2 linked regions of the Drosophila melanogaster genome follow. The protein of the gene in region 2 interacts with the protein of the main gene of each other region in a pairwise test. Each region holds a gene or a part of one and is shown on either strand. Other genes may lie near its edges.

Region 1 (4,166 bases), on a different chromosome or scaffold from region 2:
TCTTTGCCAAAGAGATTCTTCCACACCGTGGTCTTAACAAAGAGAAGCATTTGGGTTAGTTTTGTTTCTCGCTTGGAGCTGCGCTCCCTCACGAAATACAGGTCGATTATGCGGGTGCCTACATCTTGACCCAGATCGTGGAGTCTGAAAACGCCTTGGAATTAACGAATTAATCGCAAAAACTTAGAGAAACTCCCACCTTGTTTGCAATTCTGGGACTGTAAACACTCGGCTCTGCGAGTACTGGACGATTTCGCTGAAAAGCAGCGCCACAATGCTCTGGGAAACCTCCGTTTTGCCCTTGGATAGTGGTCTGTCTAGGATGTTGCTGCGCGGACGCATCGAGGATATTTTTAGGGCCTCCAGTTTTTCCATTTTCCTGATAAATGTATCAAATTATTTTCCAAAACAATGCAAAGTGTGCACGCCACCCTATCTGCCCGAAATGCCAAAGAGCGTTGCAGAAATGGTCACACTTAAAGTTGCGACAATAATACAATAAATATTAATTATATTTATTAAACCACTTGCTTTTTTTTTAAAATGTTGATGTACATTTTAAAAAATATATTATTAAAAATATGCTGATTTGTTTCATAAATATCAAATGAACGAAGTGTACAATGTATAACAGAAAAGTGTGCCAAGTTGTTATACTAGCACAAACTGAAGCCCGCAAATTTGAATTCTAGTCGTTACTATTCAAACTCAATAGTTAATCGGCAACAAAATCGTCCGATTTTATCTTCCTTGTGCTGCAACAGTCAATCTTTTTACTCGGGTCCTGAAATATCACCTGAGACCAGTGATCTTTGGAGCATTGTTGTAATTCCGAAAGGTAATCCTCGAAGTGTTTGAAACGAATTTCCCGGGTATTGGGACAACCGACGCCGTGATAATAGCTGCACAAGCTATCGCATATCCAGTTTCGCTGTCCGGAATCACTTGCGTATTCCTCACTCTGTGCGTCATTGCCCTCCAAGGCATCCTCGTACATGCGCGACGTTATTCTCGATATGGATTCGTCGATCTTGTACTCCACCTCCGGGTTGAAAATCAGCTTCATCACCAACGGGTGATCCTCCTCCCGTCGCGCATATAGTAGATACCACAATGGCATCAGGTTGAATCGAATACAGGACATTAAACGACGTACGTGCACTTTCCTCTTGTTCCAATCGTGACCCAGCCATCGAACAGCTATAAAGAAAACCTAAGAAAAACATATAAAATGCAATAATAACTATAAATATTATGTTGAACACCACCTCAATCTCGGTGTTCACACAGATTTGATCGGATTCGAGCAAAAAAATCAGATGGGAGGTCGGCAGATCGAGGAAATCCCTGGTGGCCACAAAGGTGAGCAGAAACTTGCGGATCCTAGTCAGCATCAAATTGCGAACTACATCCATGGCGGGATTGTCCTTCGACTCGACGTATAGGACACATGCCGTATCCTCGTTGTAGTATTCCTCATCATCGAAATATTTCCAACAATGCGCCGCCAGACCAGAGATCCTCAAATAAGTGGCGGCCACATAGACCTCCACAATGTGAGCCAGCTCCAGGACGGGCTCATCGCTCAGCATCCATTTGTAGGAGAGCATAAAGGCCTTCTGGGACACGATCTTCTCGGGCAGGGTGACCAGCAGCGGAATCATCTCCAGTTCACTAAAGAAGCGAGAGTACACCTGCAGCACGATGAAGTGGCAATTGAAGTACATATTGTTGATTTCTATCTGCACAGTGGTCTTCAGATGGGACTCGAACATGTAGCGCAGCACCGTGGCCAGCCGATCCTTGCAAGGCTGCTCCAGTTTCAGCCAGCCATCGGCATCCTCGAAATTATGACCGAACTCGAAGAGGGAGCGATTCAGAGACGTGGTCTCCTCGACACCATTCTTTGATATCTTACTGAACACTCTATGCATTTCGAGATCCTCCGCCTTCGATACGAATCTCGCAATGGAGTTTATTTCATCATTGGAGGATAACTTCTCGGCACTAAGCTTGGGACTGCAAGGAGAAGGAAAATATTTTAAGATTACTCCGACTGGTTTAAGATTAACTCACTTGGTAAATAAAACGCTGCAGGTGAGTTCCTGCCTCTCGCATTTCTGTCCGTTCTGCCTCATTAGCTCCTCCATTTCGAAATTTGGTTTTCTTGTTTTGGATTTTTGACTGCACGGCTACTGTGTTTTTAAGTGTTTTAAAAAAAAAACACACTCGTAGCTTTCACATTGTTTATTAAATTGTGTTTTATTGTTGGTATTCTTTTGTTCACATTTTCAAATACATTTATATGAATAAATATATCATTTATATTACTATTTTCTTTATCCTTTTCTGCAATGACACGTTTCTTTTCAATTTAATATGAGTATATGCGGCTATTTTAACTATTTTTTCTGATTTCGATGTGAAACAATAAGGGTAAGAAAATGATACAAATTGCAAAAGGTGATATTTTATTTTAGCTAAAGTAATAATTCCGCCTTTTGATCTAGTTTTATTGTGTGTTTGAGGACGATTGCAATAATAGTTAGCTATTTTTCCATTGTGTAAGCGTGTAAATTAGAGAGTAATATAAAACGTAATTGTAAATTATAGATACATATTTAACATTTTGTACTTCTTGTTGTTGAGTGTTTTGTTTCCGTTTCCGTTTCTGTTTGATCCGTTCACGGTTCATCTTGCCTTATATTTTCAAAAATTTGCATTCCATTGATGTCCGTTTTCAGATCTTGGCTTGTATTTTCTGAGGTTTGTATCAATGTGTTTGCTGAATTTTGCACATTTAATAACAATTGCCGTATTTAGTTAATTTTTACAATAATAATGTTGCTTTTTAATGTGTTTTTTTTTTGCACAACCTTTGCTTATTTTTAATAAATATGCATTTTGTTTTTTAGTTTTCGTGTGAATTTCTTTCTTTCATGGGTTTTCTCACCGACTTAGTACAACAATAATTATATAGTAAGAAATAAATTAATGTTTTTTTTTTTATTATTTTTATATATATATATAGCTGCATATATGAGTTTGTTGACTTTTTGAAAACACTTAAATTGTTTGTTTTTTGTTTTTGTTTTATTTTTACCCCTTTGCTCAAATGCCTCCTCTTTCGGCCATTTTATAAACGGCCCAAAGTTGTTGGCATTTCAATAAAAATTACAAATTGCTTCGCATTCTAGAATTATTTAGTTGCAAAAGATTTCCAATCGAGCAATGCTGCGCTCTTTGTTTGTCCATCGACTCTCTAATTCTAATTGGTTTCTCATTCTATTTCAACGTCTGAACAAAAGATTTTGGAAAACAAACGTTTTGAGTTTGGGGCAAAAGGAATATTTTGAATCTTCATGAGCCCTAAGAAGAGACAAAAACATCCTTTTTATAAGGCAACCGAATGGGTACATAGTTCTGAACTAAAGCACATTTAAGTAACAATTGCCGAGCATAGCGAACGCACAAAACTTGAGCATTGCCGCAGACTCTTTTGCTAGAGGAGTAAATCGAATACAATTTGTAATTCTTCTTCAGGTTCGGAGAAGAACGGCTCGACAGCCGTGTCGTCGTCGTCCACTAATTCTTCTGCCGAGTTGTTGCGTGTCTCGATTTTTTTTTTTTTATTCATTTGCGCATCAGGTTGCCGTTTGTTTGAACTTTTCGTGTGAGTTTTTGAGCGCGTGACATTGATTAACAAATTGGAATCGCGCAGAGAAAATCGCATTTAAATATATTTAGTTCTCGTTTCGCCTTTGCCTTCGCCTTGGCCTTTTAATACTGTTCTCCAATTTCGAATTGTAAACAAGCAAGTGTAAAATAGCAAAAAACCCTAAACAACTAAAACTAAAACAATCATTGTATAATATTTTGATTTTTCAAAAAAATGTGTGTTCAGTTACGAATAAAAACAAATAGCCCGTTTTTACAAAACTATAATTAAGCGAGAGCACTAAACATAAGTTACAATTTTAAAAGTATATTAAAATTAGATACATAATCCTTCCTGCTCTTTTGTATATACAATTAATTATGGCAATTCAAATGGAGTATACCGAAATGATACTAAAATCGAACCCCAGACCCATTTTGGCAAACTGATTTTCAAGCTGAATTGCTTCTTACGCATTCTTCTTTCACCCGATTTGAAAAAGCTGTGC
Region 2 (4,013 bases):
GAACCATATTCCTGTGGGGATGAATTTTTAATAATTTTCGCAACGCCGGAGCGTTCTGTTTTTTTTAACAGATAGGTAAACAGTGTGACCGAAGCTGGACCGGTAAGGAAACGACATCAAAGATGGGCTAAGCGCGTTTTCAAAGTATACCGCATAAAATATTTTTAGAGGGCAAACATTTTGAACATTTAAACATTTTACTACATTAGAATGCATAAATTGATTGAATTAAAATACGGAGACTGGTGTTTTTAATCTGCATAATTTTGTAGTTGTAGCTAGTGCAACAAGGTTTCTATCAGTTCCAGGAAAACGCTTTGTTTACAAGCAAAGTGCTGATTTTTATGTTGATGGTCTTACCCTTTTGTTGTACAAAATTCCGGTGCTAAAATCGGATTAAAAGCGCATGAAGTTATTCGTAAGTAGTTGAAAATCGCACTAGAGATGAATCCTAATGTTTATAGTTTTCAGAACTATGGATCTGGCGAACGTAGATCAACGCCCCGTGAAGGACGAACCACCTCAAGAAGACACTTTCGAAGAAGAATTAATCTTCATTTCTAACAGCGACTTCGAAGAGCTTGAAAGCGAAATAAAGATTGAGAACTTCTGTAGTTATGGCAAAGATTTGGAGCCAGTTAAAGGCGTCCCGTCGAAGCTGAAGACGTGTAAATCCAAAATAGCAAAGAAGCGCCCCTTGCGAAAGCAAACAGATACGTTTAAGTGTACCCAATGCCAAAAGACGTTTACAAGAAAGGAAAACCTCGAATCACACTTGCGACTTCACGCAGAAGAACGTCCGTTCGAGTGTTCCCACTGCTCCAAGAGCTTTGGACGCAGGACGCATTACAAGCGACACTTGCTCAAACACGAAAAGCGACCTCATAAGTGTTCCCACTGCTCAAAAACCTTTACCCAGAATTCATCGCTTAAACAACATCTGCATGAGCACACAGGAGAGCGCCCCTTTAAGTGTACCCAGTGCTCGACGTCGTTCGCGCGAAAATCTCATCTTCAGGTACACTTACGTACGCATAGTGAAGAACGACCCTTTGAGTGTACCCATTGCGAAAAGGCATTTAAAAACAATTCACATCTCCAGGAACACTTGCGAACGCATCAGGAGGCACGGCCCTTTAAGTGTTCCCACTGCTCAAAGAGTTTTAAGCTAAGATCAATTCTACAAAAGCACTTGCTGACGCACGCCGAACGATCCTTTAAGTGTACCCAGTGCCCGAAGACTTTTCTGCAGAATGATAGTTTGCAAATTCATTTGCGAGTGCACGCGGGCGAAGACCCGTTCAAGTGTCCCCATTGCTCAGAGACCTTTGCAAGGAATTCGAGACTTCAACTACACTTACTTGAGCACGCTGGAAAAGAGCCCCTGAAGTGTTCCCAGTGCTCAGCCACCTTTGCCATGAGGTCACTTTATCGAGTCCACGTGCGTTTGCATACAAGAGAGCGACAGTACAAGTGCGCCGAATGCTCGAAATCTTTCTTCAAGAAGTCACATCTTGTGGAGCATCAGCAAGTGCATACGGGAGAGCGGCCCTTTAAGTGTACCCACTGTTTCAAGGACTTCAAATGTCGTACGCATCTTCGGGTGCATATGCTTGATCATATTGGAGAAAAGGTACCCAAGTGTTCCTACTGCTCGAAGGAGTTTAAACTAAGCTCGCAACTGCTGGTGCACCTGCAAGAGCATACTGGAAAAAACCAATTCGAGTGTCCCCACTGCTCGAAGTCCTATACAACTAGCTCGACTCTTCACATGCATTTGCGAACGCACACGGGAGAATTGCCCTTCAAGTGTTCGCACTGCTCAAAATTGTTTGCGAGAAGCGCAGAACACCAGGAACACTTGCGAACGCATACGGGGGAAAAACCCTACAAGTGTTCACACTGCTCAACCCGATACACACAAAAGTCCAGTCTTGGGCGACACCTGCGGCGAACCCTATGCGGCACTAAATCGGATTAAAACCAATTAGTTTAGAATTAACTTAGAAATAATGTAATAAGAAGTAAAGTAGGCGAAAATAAATAAATGAGTTTAAATATTTTTTTAAGTTTAGAAATCGGTAGTGTGCCCATTTGTTTAGTCCCCCTGATCGACCTGTACCATATTTGGCATTCAGCATTCGGTCACACTGCCGCCCAATTGCTGTGTCATTTTTGTTTCTGTGCGAAATAAGTCGGCTTTTTCATTTTACACATCAAATCACTGCATTTGCGGCCCAGGAAATATGGCTACCGAACGATACAGCTTTTCGTTGACCACGTTCAGGTGAGAGCATCGCTATAGCCGGAGCGGAGCATTCGCTTCGCCCCGCGCAACACAAACTGCCGCCATGACTGGGCAATAAGTACAATTTTCTACCGTTTGCAGTCCTTCCGGAAAACTCGTCCAACTGGAGTATGCATTGGCGGCCGTATCTGGCGGAGCTCCCTCCGTGGGCATTATAGGTTAGCATGCCGCACAGCCAGTCAGCCTGTCAGCCAGTACTGTGCATTCAACTAACACACTATTATTTATTTTTCTTGGCTGTAGCTTCCAACGGCGTCGTCATTGCCACAGAGAACAAACACAAGTCACCGCTGTATGAGCAGCACAGTGTACATCGCGTGGAGATGATCTACAACCACATCGGCATGGTGTACTCGGGAATGGGTCCGGACTACCGCCTGCTGGTCAAGCAGGCCCGCAAGATCGCCCAGACGTACTACCTGACCTACAAGGAGCCGATTCCAGTGTCACAGCTGGTGCAGCGCGTGGCCACGCTCATGCAGGAGTACACTCAGTCCGGGTAAGTGTGCGCGCTTTTCTCGACTTTGGGTTCCCATAGATAATCGTATGCAATCCCACCAACAGTGGCGTTCGTCCCTTTGGCGTTTCCCTACTGATCTGCGGCTGGGACAATGATCGTCCGTATCTCTACCAATCCGATCCTTCGGGCGCCTACTTCGCCTGGAAGGCCACTGCCATGGGCAAGAACGCAGTGAACGGCAAAACTTTCCTGGAGAAGCGGTAAGTACCAATAATAGTACACCAATTAAAGTCGCAAGTCACTCATATTTTCATCAACCTGCAGCTACAGCGAAGATCTGGAGCTGGACGACGCTGTTCACACCGCCATCCTTACGCTGAAAGAAGGTTTTGAGGGAAAAATGACTGCCGACAACATTGAGATCGGAATCTGCGATCAGAACGGATTCCAGCGTCTGGACCCCGCCTCAATCAAGGACTACTTGGCCAGCATCCCCTAAACTTAAACGCCCCGCTAAGATTACCACAAGCTAAGCTTTCTTAATAAGTACGGGACATTAAAAAACCAATAAAATTTTACAACTGGTGTTATTTGATATTCAGATTTTTATAAATAAGCCCTTTGTGGTAAATTCACTTCGCTCCGATGGCCTCAACGTATCCGGCACAAGTCTCTGGGTCAAAAACGAACAGATTACGGTGTGGCGCCTCCAATTTAGTAACCACCTTGATGACCTCTTGTGCCACAACGCCGCCGACAACAGCGACCGCTGGCGAGATCTGTGCAAAAATCAGACCTAGAGCTTCGTCGCCCAGTATAGAGTTGGGCAGCAGTTCGTCGCGAATTCCGCGAAGCAATTCCAGGTCAGCTTCTCGGGTCTTGTAGCTGGGATCCCGCTTGTGGGTTGTGCGGAACTTTTGCAGGACACTTAATAGCAAAACACCCGGGCCATTGCGCTTCAATTTTCGCAAATAACTAGGCTCGGTAACATCGAAATCAAGCCAGGCAGAGTAGCCGGGATAATCCACATCACGCTGCGTTGGAATGGACACGGTTTCATACTTCTTTTTCTTCTCCGAATTGGCTACGACCTTGTGCTTAATAACATCCCTGGAAAAAAGGTGGACATTAAGTTAGCAATGGGCAATGGTAGGTAGGGAACCTACTCGACGTAGCTGTGCTTCTGCAGACTGGCAAAGTAGAACCCGAAGGTGCCCCACACATCGGTGGCTATGAACTTGACGC

The links.
Region 1: the proteins of Prosalpha2 (region 2) and CG12857 interact in a two-hybrid assay, tested with the Drosophila melanogaster proteins (2 studies listed by BioGRID).

Annotation. Positions count from the first base shown.
Region 1 is NT_033778.4:14,757,407-14,761,572, forward strand, and holds CG12857 (uncharacterized protein), read right to left. Parts: upstream 2,197-4,166; 5' UTR 2,151-2,196; coding exon 2,077-2,150; intron 2,020-2,076; coding exon 1,269-2,019; intron 1,214-1,268; coding exon 716-1,213; 3' UTR 501-715; downstream 1-500. Other genes in the region: Trs31 (TRAPP subunit 31), read right to left, coding at 1-144, 200-375.
Region 2 is NT_033777.3:12,429,195-12,433,207, forward strand, and holds Prosalpha2 (proteasome alpha2 subunit), read left to right. Parts: upstream 1-2,126; 5' UTR 2,127-2,246; coding exon 2,247-2,287; intron 2,288-2,389; coding exon 2,390-2,466; intron 2,467-2,551; coding exon 2,552-2,807; intron 2,808-2,872; coding exon 2,873-3,028; intron 3,029-3,092; coding exon 3,093-3,267; 3' UTR 3,268-3,362; downstream 3,363-4,013. Other genes in the region: CG5641 (uncharacterized protein), read right to left, coding at 1-7; CG5245 (uncharacterized protein), read left to right, coding at 476-1,981; Aos1 (activator of SUMO 1), read right to left, coding at 3,401-3,878, 3,935-4,013. UniProt on the Drosophila melanogaster protein: The proteasome is a multicatalytic proteinase complex which is characterized by its ability to cleave peptides with Arg, Phe, Tyr, Leu, and Glu adjacent to the leaving group at neutral or slightly basic pH.